2 linked regions of the Lepisosteus oculatus genome follow. The protein of the gene in region 1 binds, or shares a complex with, the protein of each later gene. Links are inferred from orthologs where the notes say so. Each region holds a gene or a part of one and is shown on either strand. Other genes may lie near its edges.

What was found.
Region 2: gtf2h3 (region 1) and gtf2b share a complex: the UniProt entries of both Homo sapiens proteins name them as parts of the TFIID-containing RNA polymerase II pre-initiation complex. The link is inferred for Lepisosteus oculatus from reciprocal best matches to the Homo sapiens genes GTF2H3 and GTF2B.

What each region holds. Positions count from the first base shown.
Region 1 is NC_090717.1:7,651,055-7,666,534, forward strand, and holds gtf2h3 (general transcription factor IIH subunit 3), read left to right. Parts: upstream 1-9,205; 5' UTR 9,206-9,274; coding exon 9,275-9,284; intron 9,285-9,658; coding exon 9,659-9,738; intron 9,739-10,005; coding exon 10,006-10,112; intron 10,113-11,023; coding exon 11,024-11,169; intron 11,170-11,268; coding exon 11,269-11,331; intron 11,332-11,557; coding exon 11,558-11,587; intron 11,588-11,982; coding exon 11,983-12,011; intron 12,012-12,085; coding exon 12,086-12,160; intron 12,161-12,475; coding exon 12,476-12,529; intron 12,530-12,808; coding exon 12,809-12,877; intron 12,878-13,421; coding exon 13,422-13,557; intron 13,558-14,076; coding exon 14,077-14,113; intron 14,114-14,198; coding exon 14,199-14,268; 3' UTR 14,269-15,412; downstream 15,413-15,480. Other genes in the region: ATP-dependent RNA helicase DDX55, read left to right, coding at 616-908, 1,914-2,090; eif2b1 (translation initiation factor eIF2B subunit alpha), read right to left, coding at 3,502-3,657, 4,396-4,521, 4,848-4,923, 5,256-5,324, 5,459-5,571, 6,348-6,464, 7,199-7,335, 7,881-7,982 and 1 more. UniProt on the Homo sapiens protein: Component of the general transcription and DNA repair factor IIH (TFIIH) core complex, which is involved in general and transcription-coupled nucleotide excision repair (NER) of damaged DNA and, when complexed to CAK, in RNA transcription by RNA polymerase II.
Region 2 is NC_090704.1:1,105,253-1,120,776, reverse strand, and holds the start of gtf2b (transcription initiation factor IIB), read left to right. Parts: upstream 1-9,130; 5' UTR 9,131-9,220; coding exon 9,221-9,237; intron 9,238-11,435; coding exon 11,436-11,542; intron 11,543-15,524. Other genes in the region: kynurenine--oxoglutarate transaminase 3, read left to right, coding at 276-368, 641-699, 1,113-1,257, 1,711-1,860, 1,965-2,051, 2,470-2,595, 2,928-3,048, 3,601-3,677 and 5 more. UniProt on the Homo sapiens protein: General transcription factor that plays a role in transcription initiation by RNA polymerase II (Pol II). Involved in the pre-initiation complex (PIC) formation and Pol II recruitment at promoter DNA.

The sequences.
Region 1 (15,480 bases):
GCAGTAGAGTAGATCATTGAATATTTGTGGACCATTAATCTGTCCAACATTTTCTGATTCACATGCTGATCTGCCACAAGAATATATTACAGTAAAAGCTTATTCCTTGTGAAGTGGGCATGGTACTAAAGGTAATATATTGTACTTTTCATTAAACAAGACACATATAAGTAATTAAAGATGACATATATAAGTAATTTGTGTTTTTACGTACTTTATGCTTTAGGTATACTTTTTATACAGTGAACCAGTTGGAAACTCTTAAAAAATATACACGCAAAACTGCAAAAACATTATGTGATAAAAGTGTGTGCAAAAATAAGCTGCTGTAAATACACTGGTGTGGGTGCCCAGCATGCTTGAAAATCTCCCTCCCTCTTAGGGCCTCAGTGATCGGTGGCCTATTTCAGTCACAGTCAGGATTGCAGACTGCGGTGCAAAACAGCGATGCACAGTAGTTACCTGAAATGTATCCTTGTGATTCACTGGTGCTGAGCTGATCAGCCTACAGAAGTCCCACAATATGGAGCAGCTTTGATTTCGCAGTGCACACCCTCAAGGCCTCCCTCGACTGAAGTGAAGGACATTCCCCGCCGTCTTGCTCTCTGTTCCCAGATCTGGACTTCTCTGCTCTGGCGCGGGGGTTTGCTTTGCTGAGGCTGCCCAAGATGCCCGAGCTGAGGGGCAAGGCTTTCCCGGACTTCACCCCCGACCCCATCGACACGGACTCCATCCCGTACAAGGACAAGAACCGGCAGAGGCAGAGGAGGAAGATGCTGGCGGAGCAGAAGGAGAGGGAGCAAGCTCAGCCCGTCAGGAAGATCTTCGTCAAGAACAAAGCCTGGTCCAAACAGAAAAGCAAGAATGACAGGAGGAAAAAGGTGGCGGCCAAAAGAAAGAGAGAGGAGGTAACTCTTTACTGAGGTTTTTGTTCCGGCCACCTGCTTTGAAACAGCCCAGGTGTGTGTGTTTCATGTCCCGGCTCTCAGCTGTGAATGGGGAAGAGCAGGCAGTATCCTTTTAGTCGCCCACCTTGGAGCCACTTGTGTTTGAACACGTCACAGGCTGGAGGAGAGGTGCGTCCCTCACTGTCAGGACCGCCTGCCTGCCAGCGTGGGTCGCTCTGTCTCTGAAAGAGATCCCTGCCACATGAATCCCAGCCTGCTCTGTCCTTGGTGGTGCTCAGCCGTTTGGGGGAATTGTTGTCAAATATATACTGTATAGAGAGATCACTTTATTGGCTTTATTCCAAACACAATTTATTGTATTTGGAATTTCCCAGCTTGCGCTCCATGAGACACACAGACAGGGAGAGAAGGTTTATAAATGTTTTATACATATGGCACCCCCGGAGCAGCTGGGGTTAAGGGCCTTGCTCAGGGGCCCAACGGAGTAGGATTCCTACTCAGGCCTCGGGATTCAAACTGGCAACCTTCCAGTCACAGGCGCAGATTCCTAGCCCCAGAGCCACTGCACTGCCCCAGAGTGTGACAGTGAGCTGGGGACATGATCCTGGTTTAATCCCATCATCAACCTGTGTTCTGGCATGTGCCTTCCTCTGTCCTCTTCTCTTTTCCCAAATCTGGACTTCTCTGGCTGAGCTATTTGGAAATCCCTTAACTTGTTTAGTTAGCAAAAGGAAAAGAGTGGAACAACACTTATCAAGAGTCATTATAATTGACTTGACTTATCACTGAAATTGCCGTCACTTCTGGTTAAATGTGGTTTTAAAGAGTTTCTCAGTTTCTGCTGATTTTTAAACTTGCTGAGGTTACGATAACATTGTATAAGCGAGCAATTACCTGACCTGGTGATATCCTTCAGGAATGCATTACAAAATTGATCTCAGACTTTTTTACAGCAGCTGTCAGAACTGTAACGAGCAGTCTAATGATGATTCTTTCTGGTATCAGGGCTCAGATATTGAAGACGAAGACATGGATGAGCTGCTCAGCGACACCAGACTGCTGAAGAAGCTCAAGAAGGGCAAGATCAGCGAGGAGGACTTTGAGAAGCAAGTGACAGCTGCACGTGTTTCACAGTCCAAAACGGCAGGCAAGCAACAAGAGGAAGATTCAGAGACAGACTAAGAGTGAACAATGGTTAGAATCCTAGTTGCAAAAAAAAAATTGTAAAATTGAAAAACAAATGACAGAAGAACTGCCTTTTTCCCTGAGCTGAGTGACGAGTTTTCAAAATCTTCTCAGGGATGCAGCTTTTTAATCAAAGTAAGACCAAGTTGCAGTCACGGTAAAGTAGAAGAGACTTCAGAGAAATATTTCACATGCTCTTCAGAACCTTTTCGGTTTGTCACCTGGAAGCAACTTAAACAGCTGAAGCTCAGATCCTGTGTTGTTATACTGGCTTCTTAAGGAGAGTCTGTTCATTCATTGATGCCTTTTTTAAATTGATGTAAAATTGCTTGACTGCATACAACAGTGTTTATTTCCCTGCTACCTCCTGCACAGGGCTTATTGTTAACCATAACCATATTGTTGAAGCTGACACTTTGAGGAAATGGCTACCCTGGGATCAATTAGCAACTGTTGTAGGTGGGCTGAATGAACCACTTGTTTGCCAGCAACTACAGTATATCATCCTGCAACTCATTACTGGCAGCCCACTGAAGCTCAGCAGGTGTGAGCCTGGCCAGCACTTGGACGTGAGACCTCCTGGGAAAGCTAAGGCTGCTGCTGGAAGAGATGTTAGTGTGACCAGTAGGTGTGTTCTCCCTGTGGTATGTGTGGATCCTAATGCCCCTTTTATAGTGAGGGGGGACATTAAACTGCAAAGAAAGGTGCCATCCTTCAGATGAGGCGTAGAACTGAGGTCCTGACTCTTCTGTGGTCATTAGAAATCCAAGGGCCAATCCAAACAAAATCCAAATTTGTCCTAGCCAAATTTCCCCCTGACCTTTACCAGTCATGTCCTTTTAAAAATACCCATATCTGAATTGGCTTCATCACCCTGTTCTCGTCTCCACTGAGAGCTGGTGTGTGGTGAGAGTACTGGAGTACTTTGGCTGCTGTCTCATCATCCAGGTGTGGGTTACACATTGGTGGTGGTGGAGGGGAGTCCCCATTATCTGTAAAGTGTTTTGTGTGGAGTGTCCAGAAAAGCACAATGTAAATGTTGGGGTTATTATTGTTGTTTGTAACCTTACTTTTTATTCTCAGGCATGGCAATTCTGGTTCTGGTACTGTATGATCAGGTACCCAGGAAATCTCCATGTTAGTGAAATGTTTCTTCAAATCTGCAATTTGTTTTTCAAATGTAGTTAGTCCAGAGCTAACCTATGAGTATCTAAACATTTTATTTTTAATTCTGAATTAAACAAAAGATAGAATATTCAGTCCCATTAAGTGAAGATTAAATATTCGTCAGGTTTATGTTTCTCAACATCTAAGTACTGATTTTTTTTTAACAAGCACAAAATAGTTCCACTGACATTTCTTTAAACAGCTTTATTAGATATATAATTTACTGGCATCTTCAGTGCTGTTACAAATATAGCTTGATGAGTTCATCACTAACAGCTGAAGGGGTGAGCACCCCCAGATCTGTGAACAGGAGAGTGATGAGGGAGGGAGGTGTGTAGTCAATCATAGGATGCTCTTCTGCTAGATTCGTGCTCAACTTCAACGTATCGGCTTTGTACTGTGAAAGACAAAACATTTATTGCAGCAGCCACATAATATCTATATATCTGTATATCCATGAATCCATTTTCTAACTGCTTCATCCAATTGAAAGTTGTAATGCAGCTGGAGCCTAACTTGGCAAGCAACAGGTGCAAGGTAGGATACACCCTGGCTGGGACACCTGTCACACACAGACACAGACACACACATGCTCACATCAGGGCCAATTCTCCCAAAGCCAATTAACCTACCCGTATGCCTTTGAACTGTGAAAGGAAATCAGAACACCCATGGGAAACCCAAGGGAACATACAAACAGAACATACGAACTCCACATGCATAGCATCCCAGGACCTGGAATTAAACCCAGGACACAAGCTCTGTGAAGCAGTAATGGTCACCACTGTGCTACCATGCCACCAGAACATCTGAATGTAAGTGGATAATTCAGTCTGAATGATCTTAGCCTGGCTGAGCACTGTTGTCAATGAGATGAAGGAATTAAAGACTGGGTGAAACGAGTCACTGGTATGACTACGGTGTGCAACAGCAGCAGTGCTCTCACATTCTCGATGGCCATAACTTAATTTGTGATATTTTTTTTCTCTCTACTTGTGACTATGATTTCAAAGCACGTCTATGTGAAATCAGAAGCGAAGACAAGTCAGTTGAACAATCTACTGAAAAGTATCTTCAGAAAAAGTAGATTGATTTTGCTGACACCGAGATTATTATTTCTGAACTTGCCCTTTACCTTAAATCTGTCAGGAACATCTTGCTGGTTCAGTGGGTAAAGTCTGACAAACTTGAAGCTTTCTGCCACCACATAAAAAGGCTTGTTATGTGCTTTGGAGCACACTGCCATTTGGTATGTGCCAATCTGCAAAACAATTAGAACAACAATAGAAAAGAATTAGAATAAGATTCCTATACAATATGTAACTTCTGATAGTTTGTAAATTATATGGTTTACAGATTACATACTGTATGTTTAGCACAGTATAGAGTGCTGAACAGCTCTTGTCTTTAAATTTTCTTAATTGTTATTATTTAAAATACATTTAAACCTCAAAATATTTGCCTCCCAACACTAAACGGTTTCATGCCACAGCACCAAATAATCAGTATGTTTTAAAATGAGAAATAAAAGTATCCTGTGTTAATGAATCCTGTGACATGACCTGGTGCGTCTGCGACACCACTCACCTTGTTGATGATGCCTCCACTCTCCACTACACCTTCAGCTCCCACGATCACCAGGTCCACCTTCTCCATGACGTACCTGCAATGACAAACAAGAATCTCCTGTCCTGCGGTTGGATCCATAAACAGCACCCTTCTGTCGTACAAAAGCCCCTATGTCACCTGATTCTCCTGAGTGCTTTGTACACAGGCACTTGGCACACTCAAATAAGCAGTCTAGAGCAGGATACATACCTGACCTCCAGATCTACGCCCTGCAGCCCTTAGCCCAAGTGACATTAAATATTACTACGTTCACAAAGCTGGTTTTGCAGTGTGTTGGTTATACCTGCGCGTGAACATGGCTGTGCTGTGGAACCAGTTTATTGGAGGTTTTGAAATTCCAGCTTGGAGATTCCTGCAGGTACCTACCCCACAGCAGCATCCAGGATCACTGTGACCGGAACATTGAGTTTTCTTAGCTTTTCTGCCATATTTTGCCTGCAAAAGAATAAGAGTTCACTAAAATAGATCATCCAGATACTCTCCGACGGGTAGTTCCCATTGTAGATCAGATAGAGTGCTGCGCTTGTTGGTATTTCTTTTTTATTGGGTCCATGCTGCCATGTACTTGCCCTGCGGTGTCGGGCTGAGATTCAGTCACGTAGACGGTGAAGCGCTTCTTCTCCGCTGCGGCTTTCTCCAGCACGCGCAGCACCACCCTCGAGGAAGAGTGGGTCAGGATTTTCTACAGCGGGAAAAACCAGGAGGTGAAAGGACACAGGATTCCCTCCCGCTCATGCCCAGCAGAGCAATGCAGCAGTGCTGAATGCGGTCTGCTATACTCTCTGCTCTATGGCTAACTGATGCCCTGAAATCAGTAAGATGCCTGCTGGCTTTTGTGCAGAAATCAGCAACCCTGCTCCTGGAGAGTCCCAGTTCCCCATTAGTAGAGCTAAATCGTCTAGTTCTCAAGACCTGGAACAATCAAGTTATCTACTTGATGATATATTAAAGTAAGGTTGTTTAAAAAAAAATTCACAGCCCATAAGAACCTGAAGCCCCTTAACTGAGTATATGGCTTTCTTAATCGATCCTCCCATCCATCCATTTTCTAATCACTTCTAATCAGGTATGCAACACACCAGGTCCCTTTTCCCCCAGAAACCAATTAGCTGACCAGCATGTCTTTGGACCTTGGGGGGAAACCCATGAGAACATAAAACCTCATGCAGACAGCACCACTGGCAAGGCAACAATACTCACCACTGCGTCACTGTGGCTTAGCTGATCAATAACTTAGTATTGCCAGTATTCATCAACAGTTGATTTAGGGTAACATACAAGACTAAATGGACTGGGGCTCTTCAGGACTATGGTTGGACTCACTTGCTTTATGACAACTAAAGAACACATATCAGTCTTTCCTATAGGAAGAATTACCTCCACAAAGTTCAGTCGATATCACTTCAACACTGTTGAAGAGAAGCATGCTATTTACTACTCTTCAACATAGGTACTCACTGCTCCGTCCTTGATGAATGTGTGACAGAGTTTTGCAACTTTGTTCCTCGAAAGTGATATTTTCTCCAAGAAGAGTTCTCCTCTTTCAATCATCACTTTCTTGCATTGTGATAAGTCCTGTGGACAGGGTGGGAGAAACAAAATGTTCTCAACACCTGGGCCCCAGCTGCACTTGAAAAAACATCTACAAGATCTGAGCCTTTTGGATTCACAATTTCCCCACAAGTTCTCGCATGCTGAATATGTTCACTTGGGTATGGAAAGGAGACTGCTCTCCCGTGATGCTGGAGGACATTTGTTTAGTTTCTCCTTTTGTCACCTTACCTTAGTGTAAACTAGGCTTCACACTGTATGTAGGATGGCAGAGCAGAGCTATGTTGTAAACTAAGTCACAGACACTTACGTCACTGCCTTAAAGCTTCAGTTCAGGGTTTACACCAAGGGTGGACTATCCTGGTCTTGGGAGGCCTGTATGTCTGCAGGATTTCACTCCAACCCAGCTTTTAACAAGTTCAATCAGATCCTTATTGGCTTAGTGGGGAAAAAATAGCTTCTTCCAGCACTTCGGCTTCTGGTACTTTGAAGTGTTCAGGAAACCCCACAGACACACTAGCCCTCCAAGAGCAGGACAGCCCACCCTTATTAAGATGCAGAAAGTTCTTGTAAGAGCCAGTAGGCCAATCAAGATATTGATTGATATTTCAGGCCAGTCAGCTCTGAGAACTTTGAGAAAGATGTGTGAACTTGTACAAGGGCCTGCAATGTGTACAGTAAAACCTGCCATGGATCGGATCGGCTACGCAGTGGGCGTTTTCTGTACTTTTCTGCCAAAACGGACAGGCAGTACTGACCGGATGCTCCAGAGAGGTGAGGCTGATGAAGCGCAGGAACAGTTCTCCCCCAGACGAGACGGCCACCGAGGAGTCCACACTGGTCAGTTTGTCGATGGCCTGAGTCAGGTTCTCTCTCAGACCCAGGATGGTCTCACCTGCACCACAGCAGAGGGGAAACTGAAGAGGAACTTCTGGGAGAACTGACCCATCCCCGATCACGTTTAAAGGATCAGCTCTATCTAGTTAATACTACTACACACCTGAAAAAGGCTCCATAGCCGAAACATTGTGTTTTTTTTCTTCTCTTTTCAGCATGGAATAAACCTTTACTTGTGAGATTGTTACAGCCATCTGTATGAAGATTGGAATTCCAGACTTGTAACTTCAATGCCTATTTGAACTGATAACATGGGTGATGACTGTGATGCTGTCAGGATGGGCTTGGTTATGGCAGCTGTATGGGGTAGTGGTGAGGGCTCTGGACTTCCCACCAAAGGGACTGTGCGGTCCAATTCCTAATGGGCTACTGCAGTCTTTGAGTGAGTTGCTTCACTCAGATGGTTCCAGTAAGTACCCTGATCTCTCAATGTAAGACAGTGGGATGTAAAGCTGCTCTCAGCTGACTGATCTGTTTGAAGAACGTAGTACCAACAGGCGTGACGGGGTCCGAGTACAATCCCTTTTTCCGGGAATCGGTTACCTTTGTCTCTTTTCAAGAACTCCAGCAGAGTGCGGATCGCGGCCACAGCGGACGCCATGTCAGGATCCTGCCGCATCTGATTCCTGAAATACTCCACCAGTTCTGAGGGAGACAGAAGGGTCTTTGACATGACAAAGATCTCTGTTCAAGTTACCTCTCAACAATGAAACCAATTCCTTTTATGTACAGTATTTTACAAATGCCAGGCACTGCAAATGCTCAATCTAATACAATTGTAAAACTAAATCACAACCATAGAGCTACTGTAGTAGACATAAGTACGTTATAAGACATTATCTCTTACCCACAGTGTTACTACTTAACAATGAAGTGTAAAAACACCGCTTGTTGAACTACTAATTCATCCGAGCAAGCGGTAGTAAGATTTCACCCAATTTTAAGATTGAACATATGGTGTGCTAATGCTTATTTCTAAAACTTTATGGACGTATATGGAGTTTTAGAAGGAAATAATCACAACATGCATGTATCAAACCAATTTGGGGGAATTGTGACGCCTCCTAACGAACACGCTGGAGTGAATAAACGGGAGTTATTTTATGGAAATATACCAGTTTTTCGTCAGACCCTTCCACACACTGGCTCAGCAAGACTAGTTCAATTCCACCAAAAGGACGTTTCTCTCCATTAGAAAAGTCATACCAGACAAAAAGGCCTTAAATTTAATTTCATTTGACCAAAAACGCAGCGTTACAAGAAAGAAAGTAAATATATTAACGATTTCACCATTTTAGCATTGTCAAGACTGTAGGATGAAAAGTTAGGTCATTCGTGGTCTAATTTATATACCATGGCAACATACCTTTTTCATTCATTTCTGAAAGACAGAAGTAGGCAACTTTCTCGGAGGGTGGCTGGTGCAAACCAGGCAAGAGCCAACAGCTGTAAGACGCAGGAATATTTCCACTTGAATGGCTGTTTCAGACAGTCAGTAAAATAAAAGGCGAAAGTCAAACACGTAGTAAAATCTGTTTTATTTAAAAATCGAAGTTATAAAAATAAAAGCGATCTAGATTAATTAGTTCAGACGTTTTGTAATTAGAAACAAATTATATTAACTTTTACATAAGGAAATTATTTGACAGCCGGATACTTTTCCCCCTTCAGTGCAATAGCTGATGAAATAGAAGATCTCTTAATTATTTACTGTTTTGGGGGATATCGTTGTTTATTAATCCGATAATATGCGCATTTGAAAGAATGATCGATTTTCCTAAAAAATACTGGATTTATCAGTATTTCAATTTCACTCGTGCAGCCGAGCAAGCTCAGAGTGACTAGTCGAGGTTTGATGACGTCCGCATGCTGCGACACTGTCAGGAAGATGGCTTTCTGATACTTGGGGAATATCTTTCTGCGTTTGTGATGCAGATATGGCTTCTGGTGGGTTCATTCAACTTAATTTCGATTATTATTATTATGTATGATCAATACGAGGAATATTTAGTTCGTGCATCTTTAAAAACAAGCCTTTTTGTCTTTCGTTTTATTTTACTTAAGTTGTTACAGTGGCATGAGAGGGAATTAGTACAGTATATTTCACTGCTGTTTATTAAGTTTGACGCCAGAAACAATCCACTTCATTTAAGAATGTAAAATGTAACCTTAGTTGGTACAGGACACCGATTACCTAAAACATAATTACGTTATTATTTGTGTGCAACTGAGTTATTACGGCATTCTTTCGATAGAAGATAAGTTAAAATCTTGTTGTGTGTCACAGAGAATTGGGGGTGATTCCTTTCTTCTGTTTGCAGAGGACGAAATCAGTCTTCTCGTCATCGTGGTGGACGTTAGTCCCATCTGGTGGGGCCAACAGTCGCAGAAAGAGCCCGAGGTAAACGAGACGGTTTGTGCTGTATTCTTGCTAGAATATATAGGTAACCGCAGCATTTACCTAGAAGTGGTTTTAAGGCAGTTTGAAAGTTTTAGCTTTTAGCTGCCGCTCGTACTGGCAAGCAAACTGCCTACAATCTGTCACCTTTGTTTTTCTGTATTTGCATTTGTGGAGGTCTGGAAAATATGGATTCTAAGAACTTTTGCAGTTTGTGAAAAGAGTTGAAGTTCACAGCACTTGGTTTACTTTCATTGCTCTGTGAAACAGTTCACCCTGTCCAAGTGCATGGATGCTGTGATGCTGATGGGGAACTCGCACCTTGTTATGAACAGGAGCAACAAACTCGCCATTATTGCCAGCCATTGTCAGGAGAGGTAAAGATGTATTATCATTTGCGATGAACAAGGGTGATGGATTTGAGTTCCGTTTGCCCATTTTCCATTCTGTTTCAAAAACCTTTATTAGTATTTTATCTGTTCTGGTGTGTTTTATGTATCTGTGCCTTTTGCTATTTCACCAGAGTTTGGATAACACTATATATTTTTTATTATAATGGAACTTTAAATAATTTTCCCATTTATTTGATATACCTTCCCATTTTGGAATCGCCACTTATGGATTTTCACGTGTCAGCTCACAACTAAGAACCCTGCAGCAACACACAAAGGAAAATGAGGATATACATGCAGACTTCCACAATCCACCCACCTTTGAGATATTTACATTTTAGCATATCACAACCTAGAAAGCTCCATACAGGCATTTCAGTGCAAGCAGCACTTAGGGGTTCACGTAGTGCACCAGGAGTTTGCAGGGGGCGTAGTTTTGCCAGGATCCAAGAGAGCCCTGGCTAATTAAGCCCAATCCCAACAGTGGTGCTTTCCTAATTGTGCATCTCTGCCTCAGGAATCCTGGTTACTTTGAGTGAGTGACATGCCCCAGGCTCGAACCTGCATCGTCCGGATGCTACAGTTCCACCTGCTCTAAGACAAGCGTCTTTACTGGAAAGGCGACTTAAAATTATAGCAAACTGTTACAGCACCCTGATGGTGAAGACTTCCCTTTCCAAAGCCAGTGCAGTCTTGTTTTAGATCATTTTTGGAAACGCACCTCTGTTTTTGTGCACAGACATGTACTGTTTTTACTATCAGTTATCTTGTACGTGCTTGTGTTAAAGTGTCCTGGGGATCTGTCAGAGTATGGCAGGGACAAAGTGGGCAGCATGCCAGCGCTGAACATTGCTCTGAGCATCACGCATTTCCTGTTGTGCTCCTTGTTTCTGCAGTCACTTCCTTTACCCCAATAAGCACTGGAAAGCTGGTGATTTTACAGGAGATGAGGCAGCATCAAGCAGTGGAGACGGCAAATATGAGCTCCTGTCGGTAGCCAATGAGCTCATTGCTGAAGAGATCAGAAATCTCATGGCGAGAAGTAGGTCACTCTGATGTTTAAGTTAGTCTCTCTCTTTCAAAGCAGCCCATGTTATCTGGCAAGGGATTGCATAACATACTGTCCATCCTGTTTTTTCAGCTGATGTGAGGGGCCAACAGACAGAAACGTTGCTGGCAGGATCACTTGCAAAAGCACTCTGTTGTATCCTTCATCTCAGTGTTGTAGCACCAGTACTCTTAAAAACTGGTGGCTCATGGCTACACTGAAAAATACAGATTGTAGCAGCCATTTGTGACATACAGTATGTAGGAGTTTTCTTTCATTTGTAGGCAATGCTGTCTTCCAAAAAATCTCTTGTTTGTATGTCTAATTGGATTTTTAGCTGATGGCCAACGGGCTGTTAGTTTTCATAACAGTTTCTGGACAGATATCCACAGGCTTTCAAAGGAACTTGAAGGTAATGCAGTCCTTTCTTTCACAATTAACTAGTCTTTCATGAAATGTTAACATAGCTTTTTTAGTGTATCACATATTTACTGCTTTATTTTGAAATTCAAATTAAGATTTCTGTATGGATAGGTAGTTCATAAATTTCTGACATCTTTTCTGTTGTGTTGGTTCGTTTACCCTTTATTTATTTATATGCTTTATTCAAGGCAGAGGCTTTCATAAAAGTAAATGAATGATCTGGAAAACGTAACCCCTGATCAGTTATATAGCAGAACTACAGCAGAGAGGAATATTTCTGGACAAATCAATGAAACAGATGATCAAGTATAGATGACAGTTAATAATTGAAAAAGATGTGGAATATGGAATGTTTTGTGATATATGGTCTGTTTTCTTTTCCAGCTGGACCAGAAATGAAATCAAGAATACTGGTGAGCAGTCATTTTCAGGCATAGTTATCTTCAGGAATTTATTCCCAGGATTAATGGTTTTTGTTGTTCTCCAGGTAATAAAGGCTGCAGAAGATTGTGCATTACAGTACATGAACTTCATGAATGTTATTTTTGCTGCACAGAAGCAGGTATGAATGCAAAACAATTTGTCTCTGCCCTTGGCTTTCCCTTCACAATGTTAATTGAAACATGTAAAATATCAAATTGTTAGGAATTAAATTTATGGAACACCTTCTTCTTACAGCAGGCTTTGTTCTGTAATAATTTTTGTGTTACAGCACTAATTAGTGAGATAAGAATGAGGTAAGAATTTCTAAAATGAAGATCCTTGAGATATTTTTTCTGTGATTCGTTTTGATCTCTTTGCTTTTCCCCCCCACTGCTATGTGGTTGTTAATATGTGTTGAAAAAATTCAGGTTTTTAGTTTCTGTTTCTGTTGCAGAGCATACTTATAGACGCATGTGTCCTGGATTCTGACTCTGGACTTCTGCAGCAGGTAGATGTTTAGTTGTTGCCAGCGATGCCAGTACGTCTTGTAGAGACCGTATGTCAGTAGGATTAATTTATATTTAGAGGCCGAAGCAAGAGAACTGTTAGAGTTTTAGTCAACACTGAAAAGAAAAAGAAAGGGGCGAGGGAAACATTGTGCTAGTATGCTTATAGAGCCTTAGCACGATTGACATTTTTCTGATTATATTGTACCCTTCTGAATACTTCTGTTGCAATACCAGTCAGGTATCATTCTGAGCTGTTTGCACCTTTGCTGTTTCTGCAGGCGTGTGATATTACAGGGGGGCTGTATTTGAAAATACCACAGAAGATTGCTCTGGCACAGTATCTGCTGGTAAGAATGCTGAAACATGAAATCTGTAGCAGACATCTAACAGCAGCTGTGAAAAATGTATGTGGGAGGGGACCACAGTCCAATGTGTTGACTAATTGTTACGATGCTAATTAGTCTGACTTTTAGCGATGTGATTTAATTCACAAGGTTACTTTTTGGTACCTATTTATACAGATGCGGTGGTTGCAATGAACTGAGTGAAGCACTTTGATCAGGAATACAGCAACATTATTGCCAGCTGGAATTTGAACCCATGGCAGGAGTCCGGAGCTTTAACCAGAGTTTCACACTGCTGCCCAGTCAGCCTCCTCCATACATTATCCTAACCCTATAATAGAACTGTTATAAAGAAATACAAAAGTAGTCAACATCTTTTAAGGGCTTGTTAACCAAGCCATGGCTGGTGTTAAGTTAGCACATGTGGTTGAGATCAGTGTGTGAGTTTTTAAGAGGGCCATCAGCCGCCTGGTGTGGTGTGCTGTGCGACTAGCATGCTTCCTTTTGCTCTGGGTTAATCCCTCTGTTATGGATCCGTTGTCTCCAGTGGGTCTTCCTGCCCGATGCCGATCAGCGCTCCCAGCTGGTCCTCCCTCCTCCTGCACACGTTGACTACAGAGCCGCTTGCTTCTGCCATCGGAACCTCATTGAGATCGGATACGTGTGCTCAGTCTGCCTGTCAAGTATGTTCTGGAAACTTGTTTCACTTTAATTCAGTAGTTTAATGTTGCTAAGTGGGCTTGGTGATGCACTTATTGCAGGCTGGCAGCACCAGGGCCCTGGGTTCAAGTTATGGGGTGCTCTCTGCGTGGAGTTTGCATTTTCTCTCTGATTTCCTTCCACAGTCCAAGGGCATACTTTAGGTAGGTTAATTGGCATCTGTGAAAATTAGCCCTGCTGTATTGTGTGTCTTTGTGCGTGTATGCCCTGGGATGGACTGGCATCCTGTCCAGGGTGTATCCTGCCTTGTGCCCAGTGTTTGCTGGGATAGACTCTGGCTCCCCCACTACCCTGTTCTGGGCAGAGCAGTTAGAAAATGGATGTTGCCCAGTATGTGACACCAGGAGTGTAGAACTACTTGTGGTCTTGTAAAATGATGTGTCATTTTGAAGCAAATGCCAAATTAAGATCTAATTCTGTAGCAGAGGGTTATGTATGTTGTTACTGCGTTTGTTTACTGATTTTTATTTCCTTCCATGAAGTTTTCTGCACCTTCAGCCCCATCTGCACAACTTGCGAGTAAGTACTATCTAAAGTTAGCCTGGTGAATTTAATACGAGAATTATTGTACCCCTGTTTATTTAATGTGTGTGTTTCTTTCTAGGACTGCCTTCAAGATTTCATTGCCTCAGATGATGAAACCAAAAAAGAAGAAGTTAAAACTAGCTACATGATCACCACTCTTGCTCTGGAAATACTGGAAGATTAAGGACATCGGGAATTGTCTTTAGGAGAATATACAGTAATTGAGACAAGCCTGGACCAAATAAATTTCATTTAGGTTTGATTTCAAACCTTCAGTTTACACAGGACCTCGGAAAATTAAAAAATACAACTGGGAAGGGAAATAATCTCCTTTTTATTTACTGTCACTAGTCAAGAAATGGGTCCCGGCTATGTTTTCTCTGTTCTGTTTTCTCATTTACATAAAGAGTTCTTGACTTTTAAACTATATCCAGAGACTGAATTTGAAACCAACAACTAAATGATTTTTTTTTCAGATCTGCTTGATGAGTAAACTTAATGAAAAAGAAATTATTTTCTTAAACATGAATTTGGTTATACAAGTACAGTTGTCTTATGGTATTAAACTTTGTTCATAATAACATTTTGTTCAGTATTAAATTGAAAAACCGAACATTTTGCCATCCTTGTTTTGTTCTATACAGAATACTGTATGTCATCTCTCAATTTGTTAGACTTCTACATTTTTATTAAATTGAAGAGGTATGTTCATTTCTAGACCAGTGTTGTTGTGTAGATGTTTATATGTCAACATATCGATGTTAAAAGTTAATATTTGGGTTATTAGAAGTATTTTTTAATGCCAAAGGCAATAATGACCTACTGTAGATTACACCACAACCAATCCTAACAGATCAACATTTGTAAACAGTATTTCTAAGATTTTTTTTTAAGTCAAGGAGTTCAGTGTCAGACAGTTAATAATTACCTGAAGAAACATTCCCCTTTTCTAACACTACACCTTTTTATGACCTTTTATTACTTAATTTAGTTTAGTGCAGATATAACTAGATATATGTGTTTACTGTATATCAGATCATATATAGGGCACAGTAAACAATGACAGTTATTTACGTTACACCAATCTACAATTTGACCTTAAATAACGTAAATGGGTGCTTTAATGTGTTTTTGTTTTCATGTTTTCATTTAAAATGTGGGTCATGTTTCTCCATTATTTTGAAAATATTTACTGCAGTTAGGTACCATAAAAAATTGTAGTTGTCACGTTCAGATTATACTCATGCTTTTGCAGTCTAGAAAGCGAATCGGGTTAATACCATTGCTGTCAAACGATTGCTGTCAAAACAAACAAGCCGGAACTCATATTTCTTAGATTTCTTTCGGAAATATATTTCTGT
Region 2 (15,524 bases), on another chromosome or scaffold:
TAAAACTCACTGAGCTACAAGCTACTGGTCACCAGTATACACCAGTTAAGCCTTTTGTACTGGAATTGACATCGGAGTGTGTATAAGCAACCTGTTTATCTTGTGTATTGCTTTAAAAATAATCCAAATACAGGCATGACCATTGTGCCTAAAGATTAAATAATATTAATCAATGTGATTTTAACCAGTATTTTAAATTCAAATGTATAGTTAGCTTTAACTCAAAATATTATAGGCGTGAAAATGACAGAGCGGGGCATGTGTCTGCTGCAGATATGAACTTGCGCCACGCCCTCAGCTGCTGTCCTGCTGTGTGTAGCTTGCCGAGAACAATCTCCTGGAGACGTCAGTGCCTGTCTACTTCTCAAGTGAGTCTTTGTCTTACACTGTTCAAAAATAGGAGACAACATTCTTGTTTAGTTACAGTACCTCCTTCAAGCAATGTCAAGACTTAAATGGAGCCAGAGGACATACCATGTGTTCATGTGTCTGCCATACTTTCATGCCTTGTCTTTTGACTTTCTTTACATCAAAGAGGTTTAAATGTGTCTGTAATGTACAAAAAAAATGTATTTTATGTTTTGAGTCAATGATTGAGAAAACCTCATTTCTGATTCTACTTTTCTCCCTTAAACTTTAGATGACTTCGTTCAGGCACAAAAATACCAAAAGAATCCAAGGCCTCGATAAAAACATATGGTAAGTACAGTGGAGATCCCCCTGAGAGCTGAAAGGTGTCAGTTCTGTACATCAACCAGTCAGTTGTGTCTGAGGATTTCTTTGATACTTATTTCACCGGAGCAAAGTTTTGAAAAGCTACCAAAGAGAGAAAAGATCTGCTGAACACTACGGCTTCGAAGAATGCCATTGTCTCGCCACTATTCTTGTTCTGTCTTAGTGGCGGGTGGAGCTTTCATGCTCCTGTGCTGCAGTGAGCCTGAATCCATGCGCATCACAACCCAGGGCGCAGGAAGCGATCTCACAGGGCTGCAGGGTTAAAGGGCGCCTGAGCTGGGGATTCGATCTCGGGGCTCGGCCTCGGTTGTGTGGAGCACAGCGCCCTAGACCCGAGTGACGTGTGTCTGTCTGTCCGTCTGTCTGTCTGTCCGCAGGGTGACCTTTTCCGCTGTGGCTGCTGACCCCTCCATCGTCAACCTGGGGCAGGGCTTCCCAGATCTCCCCCCTCCCCCCTACGTCACGGAGGCGCTGGCCAGGGCGGTGTCCGTGGACAGGCTCAACCAGTACACCCGGGGCTTTGTAAGGGCGCTGGGGCGTCGGGGCACGCTGGGGTGGGGGGGCTGGGGAAGATTGCCGCCTCTCGTCCCTCCGGAAGACACGCACTCTTCTTAATTAGTAGGCAAGTTTGTTTGTTTGTCCAAAGTCGTGGATCACTTTCACAGACTTGTGCATGATCCAGTGTTTGGCTGTACGTGTCCACAGATGCAGTAGACATGTGGCTGTTGTGTTCAGTGAAACGTCTGGAGTGGGCCGTGGTGGGGAACGCGTGGGGCAGCGTGGCCGTGCTCCTGGAGCCGACGGCTCTCCTGCTGCAGCCCGTGAGATGCAGGTCTGCCTGCAGGCTTCATGCTGGGTCGAGCGCCGGTGCGTCTCCCGCAGCTTGAGGGCCGGCAGGAGGCTGGCGGAGGCCGTTTGTTGGCGCTGTACCCGCTGAGAGGCGGTGCTCAGCTCGCCCCCTTGTTCTCCCGGCAGGGGCACCCCTCTTTAGTGAAGGCGCTGTCGCAGGTGTACGGCGCGGTGTGCGGCCGCCAGGTGGACCCACTGAAGGAGGTCCTGGTGACGGTGGGGGCCTACGGGTCTCTGTTCAGCACCATGCAGGCGCTGGTGGAGGAAGGAGACGAGGTGAGTGTCCCCCTGGCCGGACTGTCGCCGCTCCTGACGACTCCCCTGACGTCCCACAAAGCCCGGGTTCTCTCAGAACTGGGTTTTAAAACTCACTGTTGCAGGTGATCATCATGGAGCCCTTCTTTGACTGTTACGTGCCCATGGTCCGAATGGCCGGAGCAAAGCCCATCCTGATACCGCTAAGACTTGTGAGTCTGATCATTGTATGTTCATGTAGAAAGAAGCAAATCCGTCTAATCTGTCTGGGGATCTGCACACTGTGTGCCAAGGGATGTGTGTAACGTTTGTGGTTTATTTTAAAATTGTCAGTAATGCTCTTGAACCCTGTTTCCACTTAGGGAGCTCGCCTCACGTACAGTGGAGTCCGACATGCTTTGAATTTGAACGAGTCAGATGTGCAGTAGATTATGAGTTATTGTATCTGTGCAGAACACCTTTAGTACTTGGGTCTAGCTGTTAGGGCTCAGTACTAGATAAGGTACCTCCTGATAGCTTGTATGCAGTTCATGTGCTTATAGTAGCTCATGCCTTTTGTTGGATGTAAAGGACCTTAAAATACAAAACTGATGATTCTTTCCACATTGCTGTGCTGTTTTTAAACACCAGAAAATGTCTGAAGGCTCTGCTATCACCAGTGCAGACTGGGTGCTCGACCCAGAAGAGCTCGCGAGCAAATTCAGCTCGAAGACCAAAGCCATCATCGTCAACACACCTCACAACCCCTTGGGAAAGGTGAGAGCTCTGCCCCTTTCCACTCTCGCAGACTGGCCCTGGTCCTGGACAGCCCCCCGTCCTGCAGGTATCCTCAATCTCGAAAGGCCTGGGGCAGTTGATCTAGGATCAGCTGAAGTACTTTAAAGATCATTTGGAAGAAAAGATTGAAGTATCCTTCCGCTCTCTTCAGCTTCGGGACCAGTTGATCAGTTGCTTAAACATGGGTTCCTAATCTCTTAAGAACAGGCGATTTAGGGTGACCTGCGAGATTAACTGGACAGGGGCTCTCCGGAGTCCGGACTGGGGACCCCTGACCGAGACTCTGAGCGCTCCCCCGGTTGTGTTCGCAGGTCTTCAGCAAGCAGGAGCTGCAGATGATTGCCCACCTGTGTGTCCAGCACGATGTGCTGTGCTTCAGCGACGAAGTGTACGAGTGGCTGGTGTACAAGGGGCAGGAGCACATTAAGATCGGTAATGCGTTCGGGACTGCAGTACAAGCACAGCTTGTGGGCTCATAATCGGAGTCGTTGCAGAAATATCTTTCTCATTCTGTGCAGATGTCTTTTACTTTTACTGGTGACCCAGTGCTCAGCTTTATAGTTTTTATTTGTAGATAATAAGATTTTGTCCATATCCTCTACAAAATTGTTTTTACTGAGCTCTGCAGGAATCGGGGAAAACATACAGCTTTTACAAAGAAGCAGAAATGTCTCCTTTACTCAGTCTCCCACTCCAAATAACATTCTGGAAAAAAATATTTTGAGTTTTAAGAGTCCTGTGTTAAATTTCTGATGGATTCCAAATATTTGAAACCCAAAATTTCCATTATCGGTTGTTCTTTTAAAATAAAATATATACTTATTTTTGTGCGGTTCCTAACCAGATGTGTTCAAGAAGCAGTAAGGCACTCTCCCGTCAGTAAATGTTAATGGCTTTAAAATGTGATCAGGAAGTCTACGACTGGCTTCAAATTTAAACTGTTTGTACTGTTTTGGAGTTTGACCTGGAGTTGTTTCTTTAAAGCTGCACTTCCTGGCATGTGGGACAGAACCATCACCATCGGCAGTGCGGGGAAGACCTTCAGCGTGACTGGATGGAAGGTAGAGTGACCCAGCTGCCCGTGGCCTGACTGGCTCTAGAAGTGCGTTTGTTCTGGGAAGATGGCTCCCTCTGCTCCAGGTCTGATCGTGCACTAGTGGGAGCAGCTGAGTTCGGCAGAAACGTGTGGAGGTGTACAAGTTGTGTGCATGTTCACTACGCAAGAATAAAGACAGGACCCACATCAGTAGTCCAAGAGACAGAGTGTGTGAGCTGTGTGTCTGGACTCAAGGCAGCTGTGGTGAGAGATCTGCGGTCAGCCTGGAATATGACCGCATTTACCCCACCATGTGCACGGATAGACACCTGCCTATTGTCAGACAGCTCTTCTAGAAATATACACTTTATATATACTTTTAGTTTAGGTTCAGAGTGATCAAATGACTTTCTTTTTTTTTGTTTTCAGCTTGGCTGGTCAATTGGTCCAGAACATCTAATCAAACATCTTCAGACAGTCATGCAGAACACCCTGTATACCTGCCCCACTCCCTTACAGGTAAAACCTGTTTTTTTGCATTTGTGACATTATCTTATATTTCACATTTGAAACTGAATGTTTAGTTTTAATACTGAAGGTATTTTTAATGAACAGAATTCAAAGGCTTCATTTGCAAAATAAATCTGTGATTTGCAAGTTTAAAATTTGTCGCCTTACCTTGATCGGATCTGACCCTGTCTTCTGAAGTGCCAGGTGAAATGTAAACCGTCCTGCTGAGGACTGGTCTGTGTGATCCTCCTGTTCTGTTCTGGTCCGACAGCATGATGAGCCGCTGAAGACATCACACCAAGCGAGTTGTAGAAAATCAGGTCGTGTCCCTCAGTCGTTCTTCCCCTAGTGGCATCATGAGAAAAACTGTTTATAAATCAGGGGAGCTATTCAGCCCACCTGGCCCAATGTGGTATTGCAGTTAGTAGTTACTGGAATCGATCCCGTGCAGCCATTGCGTCGAGTCAGCTTCAATAACCTGGCCAGACAGCTTGTTCCACACTCCCACCACCCTCTGTGTAGGGAAGCGTCTCCTCCTCTCGGTTTTATTGTACTTCTGCTCAGTGTTTCCGCCTATGACCACAGTGCTCCCGTCGGACAGTTGAGGGAGGATGAAGGGGAAAGTGATCTGGCCTTGCACTGATTTTTGTGCTCTTGCGACTGAGAAGGCCCCATGTCTGCCCCGCAGGAGGCCGTGGCTCAGGGCCTGCTACTGGACTTCAAGCGCATGGGTGACCCCGACTGCTACTTCTCGTCTCTCGCCCGCGAGCTGGAGGGCAAGAGGGATCGGATGGCCGGGATCCTGGAATCCGCTGGCATGAGACCCGTCGTTCCCGAAGGCGGCTACTTCATGCTCGCGGACGTGTCTGCGCTGGGTGAGTCGGCTGTTCCACCGGGGTTTTCGGGAACGTGTCCTGCCCTTCTGGAAAACTGTCCCAGGCTCACATAGCCGCAGATCAGTGAGGGCCACTGTTTCCACGTCGTCATGGGGGGGGGGGCTTTGGGCTCATCACAGACAGGTTGTGGGTTCGAGTCCCTGCTGCAGACACTGCTGTTCCTTCAGTGAGATACTTCAGCCCAGTTTCTCCCGTCCTCCCAGCTGTATAACTGGGCACCGGTACTGCTGGGGTGTCATCCCTGTGATGGACCAGTGTCCCGTGCTGGGGGAAGTCGCCAGCACTCCAGACCAGTAGACACTACAGGAGCTGGGATGAGCTCTGTCCCAGTGAGTCACTGTGGCCCTGGTGTGAGCCGTGAGTTCACCTCTAGAGCCTCTAGGGCAAAGAGCTTGCACTCGCAGTCTGTGTGAGCCCCTTACACACACGTTTCCCAGATATTTGTATGTCATTTTTAGTGAGTGAAAAGAGGGAATTGGATTACATACACTGCTAGCATATTTCCCCCTCAGCTTCATAGTACATTAGACATGTGATGGGTAAAACATTTAATCAGCAGTGAATCAAAAATCTTATGACACAAGTGGAAATTATGTGCATTTAGGGGACAGATCAGGAGACCCGTCTCTACACAAAGGGTGGTGGGTGCTTGGAACTGGAACCCCTTGCCCATTTAAACTGATTCCAACAGTTCTGACACAGGACAGCTGGCTGAGAACCTCAGACCAACGGGTTACGAGTAGCAGCAAACACAACGGGCCACACTGCCGCCTTTAATCTGTTCTTCTTACAAAAGCTATGACAGTGTTTGGGCCCTGTTCTGACTGCGTTTGCTCACAGAGGGGAGGCAGGGCCCTGGTACGAGAGCTGAAGAGCCCAGTGGTGCTGGGAGACTGATCTCGGCAGAAGGCAATGAGTGTGAAGAAAACAGACAATGAGCTCTTCTGTCCAGCAAAGACAAGAGCTGTCGCAGTTCAAGACACTGCGTACTGACAGGACTGTGTCACAACGCTGACTTTGTTCACATCAAACAGGACTCCTTATTCTACACATTGAAGGAACAGTAATGCACAGCAACTTGTGTTCTGTTGTCAGTGTAGTGTAGTGATGAAGGGTTTTGTTTTAATTTTAATAAGTAGCATAGTGATTTTTTCCCAGAGTTAAAAACTGTACTTGTGGTCCGAGGGCTGGGACAGACGGCTAATCTGTATCGAGCATGGAGAGCACATCACAGCACCACCAGGGCTCTAGTTCCTGACTTCCCTTGCCTGTCCAGCATTCCTGCTCACAGCGTGGGAGGGTAGAAGTGTGCAGAAAAGTAGTCCAAGAGTATGGAAGTGTAAAGAAATTGGTGTGAGGAATGTGCTCTGCACAATGACCGTTCGCCTTAAACGTGATACACTAGAGAGAAATGGCCTGCATGACTTCTTCTTGTCCGTGAGCCGTCTGGTGGATTCTGAGCACTGCAGAGCCTGTGTCCGAGCGTGACAATGTTTTCTGTCTGCGCAGACGTGGACCTGTCTCACGCAGGAGACGACGAGCCGTACGACTACAAGTTTGTGAAGTGGATGATCAAGGAAAAGGTACAGCTCTTTCCTCCTGCTGTGCTTGGGGAGTGCTGAGTGTGTGCTTTGTGGGAGTTTTCCACAGCGGCAGTGAGTGCCCATACCCAAAACAAATCAGATGAGGCAGACCCTACCGCATGAGCAGGCAATTAGGATGTTATTGGAGTCACAGAAACCTGGGGCCCTTCTGGACTTTTTTTTCTTTTCTCTTCCAGAAACTCGCAGCTATTCCAATGACTGCCTTCTGTGGAGAAGAGTCTAAGAAGCAGTTTGAAAAATACATCCGATTCTGTTTCATCAAGGTAGCCTGCTGCTTTTCTGCCTTTATGAAGGCATCTTTCCCTGGGTGTCCCGAGCAAGTCTCCCCCTGCTGGCAGCACGCCTGTCCTGCAGGCGATGGGCTGCCTGGCGTGGTCTCCTGTGGCCGGGCTGAGACTGGCCTGTGGGCAGTGGGAGTTTCCCTGAGGGTGGCCGAGCAAGACGAGACAAGGCCTTGCTTTCTCACGGTCATACCTCTCTTGTAGGATGAACTTAAATTTAAACAGGCTTCTGTTTAAAAAAGGTTTGAAAAAACGTTAAAGGCAAATGCCAAGACAGGAACTTGTTTTTGTCTGAAGGCAAATGGTAGCAATGGTAAAGGCTGCTGTGTGCAGGCAGTTTAAGCACAATAAACGTGCCGTGTGTAAAACGGCAAATCAAAGCTGAGTGACCTTCATGATGGCCGTATTTCTTCTTATTGGGGGACACCAGAATGGTGGCCCTGCTCATGGCTTGTCAGGACTTCAGGCCCAGGCCAGTTGTATTGAATATGACTGACACAGTACAGCTGATCACCTGAATTCCAGTTATCCGTTTAGGCCAGCTTGAAATGAATGGATACTGATCCCGCTGGCGAGTTTTGTAGAGTTTGAGCATTGCGCTGACTTTTTGTTTTCCCTTATTTTGCAGCGAGACGACACGTTAGATGCAGCAGAGGAGATTCTTAAGAACTGGAACAGAGCGGCGCCTGTCTGATAGTGAAGACCTGGCCCTGGCCCTGGCCCGGCGCCGTGTTAGCTATCTTGCAGGGAATGTTACGTTTTGAATTTGATGATGCGTTGAATTTGAGCTAATTGAAACATTTCAGTATTGCTGTTTTGCATCACCAAGTTTATTACCGTGATGGTTTGAGTATTTCTGTGTGATGCAGTGGCCTTTTCCATTATACCATTAAAGCATTTTTTCCTGCAAGTGCTACTTAAAGTCTTTTATTATCCTGCGTTCGGCATTTCCCCTGTCTTCTCCTCAAGGTCCCTGCAGTTATCTCTGTCCTGTGAGGTGGTTTTCTCCTGGAGAGGAGCTCGTATCTCACCCTCATGCCGTTTAAAGGACATTTAATATACAGGTCTTATCTGTCGGAAACTAAGAATGTGTTGAAATGCTTTCCTGTTCCTAAAAATGGGAAATAAAAAGAAACGTCAGTTCAGAGTTATTTACACAATTATCACAGCAATCTTATTATGAGAGACTGATTAAATTAAATTTTACGAAAAGCTTGTTGGAGTTGGATAAGACCACTTTATTAGCCATATACAATTTCTTGCATCAGGAATTTCTTTTCACATGAGACACAGACAGATGGACAGGGAGAGAAGCTGGGGGTCAGCCATTTATACGGCGCCCCTGGAGCAGCTGGGGTGAAGGGCCTCGCTCAGGGGCCCAACAGAGTAGGATTTCTCTGCTGGCCGCAGGATACGAACCGGCAACCTTCCAGCCACAGGCGCAGATCCTGAGCCACAGAGCCACCGCTCCGCCTCTGCATTCAGGAAGAGAAGGACCGTAGATACGGTTTGGGCAGCGAGGGGGTTTGAAATGTGTCGCTCCTGCCGTGTCTTTGAGTCTGTGTGCCGACGGAGCTGAAACGTGTTGAGCTCTGAGAAGGCTCGAGGCGCAGGAACAGACCTCCGCCTGGACCTTCGGAGTATTTTGATATTTGAAATCTTTTTTCTTAAAACCTTCTCTACCCTGACTAAATCTATGCAAGTGAAAAATAATTTCTGCTCGTTATGAAGTTTTTATTGTCAAAGTTTGTTTTTTTTTTAGCTGTGTCTGCGAATTATTTTAATCGTTCCATTCGTTATTTTTATCTTTCTATTGCCTTTTAGAAAGTCACTCGAAAGTCAAAGCAGCGTACTTGATCGTATTGTCTGCGTCAAATAAATTAAAGTAGTTAATGTACTTTGGACAAAATGCGGTAAAAAATGAAAAAATAAAGATTTTTATTCACGTACGAAATGAAAAACCTTCATTGTATGCCTACCGCCTGTCATTCCGTAAAAGTCAAAGTGGTAAAATGGCGCAGGATTCATGACGTGCATTTGGAGTTTAAAGTCTCAGATTTGTATTACATGCAAATGGAAGTGGTATTGAAACTTCAATTATGATGTTTTTTTTTATTTGGAAATTTGCACGACAAAGGGAGTGATTAAGGACGTGTATGAAGTTTGGGCCTCTCGGCTGCCCGTACGCTCTCGGGCACGTGACGAGCGAAGCTATAAATAGAGGTGGGGCGCAGTGCGTGTCCGCAGTCGCTGTTGGTGAGCTCGACTGAAGGCAATATGGCGTCTACTAGCCGGTTGGTATTTTTTAATCATACGTTTCTGTTGTTTCTAAGGTCTTGTGCGGTAAACAAGACAGGGGCGGGGGGGGAGATAAAAGTATCGAAAACAAGCTCGGAAGGGGTGCCATTAACGGGGGGCCGGCGGTACTGGGTGTTTTTTCTGCGTTTCGGGGTGAGCCGGAGGCGTGTTGGGGGCGCCGTGAACAGTCAGCAGACTCGCCGGGGCCGCTTGATCCCCTCTTTGTGTCTGAAACAAACCTGCCCGTGGGACCCGGCGTGTGCGTGGGCGCGCACACGGGGGTGCTTGGTCGAAACTGCGTGGCGAGCGGGATTGAGGCGTGTTGGCTTAATCTCTGCCTTGCCCTCCGTGCGCGTCGGCTCGCCTATTGTCTGGCTTGCCTGCGTGGTGCGCACCGCGGCTGCCCGGGATGCGCGTTGATTTCACTCTCGGGCAGGCTGTCCGGCTGTCAGTGCGGTGAGATGACCGGCGGGGGTGCGAGTTGGGGGAGCGGAGAGCGATGACAGAATCGAAACCGGAGCTGATGTACCGACAGGGCCCCACTCACCCCCCCCCAGCACACCGCCGCTGTACAGACACCCCCCCGCCAGCGCTCTCGGTGCCCCTGTGTTTCACTTCTGACCTGCTTTGACGGCAGGTGTTCTCTAGTATCAGACGTGTTTTATAGTTTCGGGAAAGAGCATATTTCTAGCTTGAGCTTATTCACGAGAGGGAGGCTTCGGTTCAAACACGGAACGTGAGCTCTTTCCATTCCGTTCTTATTCACGATGCACGGCGCTACGCAGCAGTGTGGGTTTTGGAAACCTCAGAAGTAAAAGCCACGGAGGCGCAGTGGCCAGCGGTGCTGGGGCCCCGGGCTGCTGTCTGTGTGGAGTCTGTATGTTCTCCCCGTGTTCATGTGGATTTCCTCCCACAGTCCAAAGCCATGCTGGTAGGTTAATTGGCTTTTGAGTAAAACTGGCGTCTCGTCTAGGGTGTATCTGGCCTTGTGCCTGTTGCTTGCTGGGATAGCCTTCGGCTGCCCTGCCAGCCTGTCTTGGATAAAGTGGTTAAAACATGGATGGATGTGCAGAAGTGAAAATATGGGACGAATTGTCTTGGAACTGTACGCCCTGCGCTTGGTTTAAATAGCATGGAGGTTTGGAACAGTTTGTTCCACTACTTGTCGATTTCATAGACCTTATTCTCACCTGTTTGTGTGTCATTGTTACACTAGTCGTCCTTTGATAGGACTCCCGCTGTTACAAAGCCTGTAACTATCATCTGGGTTAGCCAGCATGTTTACAAAAAACAACACGGACAATATAATCGGCTCTGAAGTTCTTCCAAAGGTTTGCTGCTAAACAATTCTCTGGTCATATCTGGCTTTCTGATCTGCAGTAGGACACAGTGTACTTTGAAAGCCATGCTGTGTAGTTTTTGTTCTAGGAGTATTTTGCAGGGAAACTAGGGTAATTGTTTTATCAGCTAAGTAATGAAGCTCGTAGTCAGTCCACGATGGCAGAGCCAGACACATTAGTTGCATCACTGTCAAATTGTTAGGAATGAGATTTTGCACTTAATCAGAAACACATTTTACATCGATAAGAATAATTCTAGATAGTTGTACAGCTGTTAATAAGCTAAAAGACTTTGTATACTGGCAGCATGCGTCAGGAATCATTTTAAAAGTTTCTTTATAGAAACCCTGTGTCCAAGTTTTTCGTGCAGCTCGTGCACCTTCTTGAACTTCAATAGAATGGTTTTCACAACAAAACTTCAAAAATTAAGCTACTTACGTTTCGTTTCTGGCACAGCATCTTGAAGTTTTTCAAAAGCGTTTATAATTTCGGCCTCATTTACAAGTTGGTGCTGTACAGTTGGGCCTCTATCAGACTTGCGCTGAACTCCAGCACCGTCGCCTCTGACCGAACTGGGAAGTCGGCGGTCAATCCTGCGCAGGTACACCTGGCCGAGCACTGAGGTCCGTTTGCTACCTGGAAGTTTCCCTGGAATTTCCTGTCATAACCTCCGTCTCAAGGCAATGCTACCCTGTCGCTCTTCGTTAGTGGGCAGGGACAGAAGTGTTCCCTGTTGAAGACCTGCTAGACCACTGCGTGTTGAAATGTTCTGGCTGTGGCGGTGCTGCTACATGTGGTAACGGCGTGTTCCAGCGGGTTCTCTGTTGGTCTGACATGTGGTTGCTTCTCCGCAGTGGAGATGCCCTTCCCAAGGTCCAGTGCCCCAACCACCCCGATGCCATGCTGGTGGAGGACTACCGGGCCGGAGACATGATCTGCCCCGAGTGCGGACTGGTTGTGGGTAAGACAGCGAGGCGCGCGTCGTCGTTCGGAAGCCAGAGAGCAGCAGGCTCTGTCACAGTAAAGAGGCTTTCGGGCATCGACAGGCTTTGACTTGACTGCCGCGGCCCTATGACATCACTTCTGGTGCGCTGGGTTTTGATGCGCACGGATTCAGGCAGTACAGGAAAATGAAAGCTACATCCGCCAACTGGAGAACAGAATGTGTCCATCTTCTAACCATGACTAAGCGTTTTTTTTTTTTTTAGATTTAGGCTGACTATATCAGCGGTTCGGGTCACGGGTCCTCTTCGACTGGGCACACTGTCAAAAATCTGTTGGTCTGGGGTTTGAAGTCATTTCATTCTTAAGTGGTTTATTTTTTATCATTTAAAATCAACATTTGGTCAGCCAGTTGTGTGCTGCAGCTCAGGGAATCCTGGTTGTTTTAATACTAAGCATTGGTGCTTTTGACTGTCTGGGTGTCTGTTGACCATCATGGCTGCCCAAAGCGGCTCAGAGCAGGTGTGTCAGGAGGGCTCTCCCAGGTGAGCTGACACGAGCGGTCAGTGGTGTCGGGGATCAGATATTCTTCCACTATCTGGAGGAATGGCTTGATAATCTCCAGGTAGAGGGGGATGAGAGGAGTCTGGACTACAAACCCCGTCTGGTGTTACATTTACTGCAGGTTCCAGCTTGTGGACAGAGGGACTATGTGACAAACCTGAGCTGAGCTTCCTCCTTGTGCTGTCATGTGCAGAGCGCAGGTTCTGTGACATTTCCACAGCATCTTCTCTAATACTGGTAATGGTAAATAGTGAATTTTATATACCATATTTAAGAGAAGATCCTTTTCAGTGCTATCTGTTTAATTCTTAGTTTTTATTGCATTTTGCGGTAATACAGTGCTCACAGAAAGGTCTGGTTTGTTCTGAAGCTAAGCTGAGGCTCTTACTGTCTTTAAGGTTTCATCCCATAACAGAATTATGAGCTTTGTTAAATTCTTAGAGAGTACAGACTCATTTTTTAGTGTTAGAGTGGTGAACTATGGAATTCTTGTACCCAATCGGAAAATGAAGGAAATTTCTATGTGCTTCAGGTTCATAATCTGGTCTTTCCGTATTTAACTTGCTACACACCGAAATGAACTCTTCTCTAGTTCTTACAGTCGTTCCACAGCTCTGTGTGCCCTCTGTCCCCTCTTGCGGATTGCAGAGAAGAACGTTAATCGTTGGCGACAAGGAGTGACATTGTTCTGCAGAGTAATAGGAGTTGAGATACCAGCGACTGTTGAAAGCTGTGAGGTTGTGGAGTCTGCAAAATGTTTGCATAAGTGGATTTGGTTCCTGCCCTCTGCGTCTTTCTGCCACATGGCAGTGAGTGGTCGAGCGATGCCAAGGACAGTGTGCGGCGCACGGCGACGGCGCACGAGCCGCTGGGGGGGGTCCTGCCGCCGCCCTCGCACTTCCATGCTTCCGCGACAAAGCCAGGAATGTGTCCCCTCTCTCCTGATGTAACGCAACACACAACAGACTGTACTCCTGCACCTGGGAGAGAGAGCAGTTATTTTTTCGGTCTTTTATCCCCCTTTTGAATTTAGGCTTCCTGTCAGTTATTGCACTTTTGTTCCTTAAACGCTTCACGTGATGGATGTGTTCAGAAGAATTGTGAAAGTTGCTCAAATAAAGGATTTTTTTTTAAAGATTGAACAGTGTTTGTTTGGTATTGTGATGCGTGTTTCATGGAATCTGTATAAAATACCATAGTGCTCCTCTGGCCATCTGTCTTAGGAAACTCGGGAATGATGAGGCTGTTGGGGTCACAGTTTACACACCTGTGATTGTGCAGAATAACATCCCATTCACACTCCGCATGTCCGCACAGGAAATGTGGAACTGGAATCATGGATGTTACTGAGATGTTCATTTAGATTACACTTGACCACCTTTCACTACAACTGCAAGTTTAAATGATACTGTACTTAGGCTGGCCAGCACCTATGTTGTGGCCATTAACAAAATTTTATTTTAAAATGATCCTTTTTGAGTGAGTCCTAAAGGCGCTGTGCAGTGCTTGGTGTGGGAGGCAGCCCTCTGCTGGACCTTGCCCAAGTTTTAAAACAAATATTTTTGTTCAAATGACAGTAAGCACTAAACAGCTTGAGAAAAAAGAGGCTGCTGAGAGGTTACAACCTGGAATGGAATATAGCACAGTGGAAGAGATGCAGTATTGCATGGATTTTTTATATCGGAAGCATTTAAGGGTAAATATTCCCCTGGAGGGAAGGCCTTCAGTCCCTGCTGGCTCGAAGTTAGGGGTGCAGGACCTGCCCGTTTGCAGGAGTTCACACCTCATGGGACACATCCTGTCATCCCAGATCCCGTGCTGGTCTGATCACTGGCTGGACCCCTGGCAGTGTAATAAAGAGGGACTGAAAAACAGAGCAACGATTCAGAGGGATGGATGCCTTAGTGTGGTAGGGACAGTGGGAGCCAGTGGGCATCTGAGACGTTCAGGCTGTACCGAGTACACAGGGAGTCCTGTTTTCAAGCAGTGTGGCGAAGGTAGCACGGATATACGGTACAAGATATGAATTGTACCGAAGTCAGTCCAAGCGCATTTTACTGATGGACATGAGAACGGCTGGCTCGAGGTGTAGGATTCATGAGGTCACTCTGTGATGTTTGTTGTTTACATTTGCTCATTATTGTTTTGCGATTTTCAAGGCATTTAGTCAGTAAAAAGTTATCACCATTATCATTAAACGTCTCTGGGATATAGATAAAAATGTTGCTGCTTCTGTCTAGAGACGGGCAAGATTTCGCCCGAAGGCCAATCCAAAACAATTTCATTGTGTACAATGACGATTGTAGGTGAACGCTGCAGTTATCTAAGTTAGCCACTAGGTGGTAGTAGACCCTCAAAAATGAATTCGTTCTTTTCGCAAATGTGGAAAGCAGGATGTTTTGTCCTGTCCGTGTTTCAGGTCCTTGTTTGGAATTAAGATTAGCATCTTGTTTACACGAGATTAAATTTGACATGTCCTGTTCCTCTGCCATAAGATTGGGTTAATGTTTTAAAATGTAAGGTCACCACAAACCATCTTGTCTTGATGTTTGAGACTACTTTAGCAACAGAGGATGTTTAGCACTTTTTCAGGCTCATTTTTGGTCTAATGAGGAAGTTGATAGGTGACAAAATAATCCTAAAATAATGAGAGTTGAGCACACTTTTTTGTTCTTTTAACAAAGTAAACAGATTACCAGCACTGTTCAGACTTAAATACTGGAACAAAGAAGAACATGACCAGTTAATTCTCAATTCCCTTTCTTAGAAAAACAGTGGGTTGTGGTTTGAGAACTAGAGCTGCAGAACGTCTAGCAATGCAGTTCCCATTAAAACATAAAAGAATAATTTAAAAAAATTGGCATTGGAGGAAATTTCTGATCCATCTCTGTTGAATCAATGCAGACTGCAAGCAGTTTAGTTTTTTAATTCCCTGACCCCTGTACTCTTTAGCTGTAATGATTTATTGATTTCTGTGCCGACATCAAGGCTGGGGTGCAGTATGTAGCATTTCTCTCTGAGTGTTGACATAATTGATGGCTCACTCTAGTAAGCTGAATGTTTTGTGTAGCATAAATGTTTTAAGAATGTGCAGTAATATGGTAGTCTTTTTTTACTCAACAAATGATCAATTCTGAAAGATCTGATAGAGGTTCAGCACGTTAATTAGTGGTTCTTTGAAACTGATATAATGGTCCAAAACATTTGGTTATGGTTTTATACAGTCAGTGTGGTGTTGGTGTCTTAAAGTAAATCATGTAATGATTGATTTCTGTAACGCTTGAAAGCGCTTTTTTTGTGAACCGACAGTATGATATCTTCTCGGTTTTATTCCAAGCCTCATCAGATGTATCTTTGTGTCCTTCTATGCTGACCTACATCAGTCTGCCTCATACCTCTTTAATACCGGCAGCGCTCTTAAAGTCAGACGGGTTATA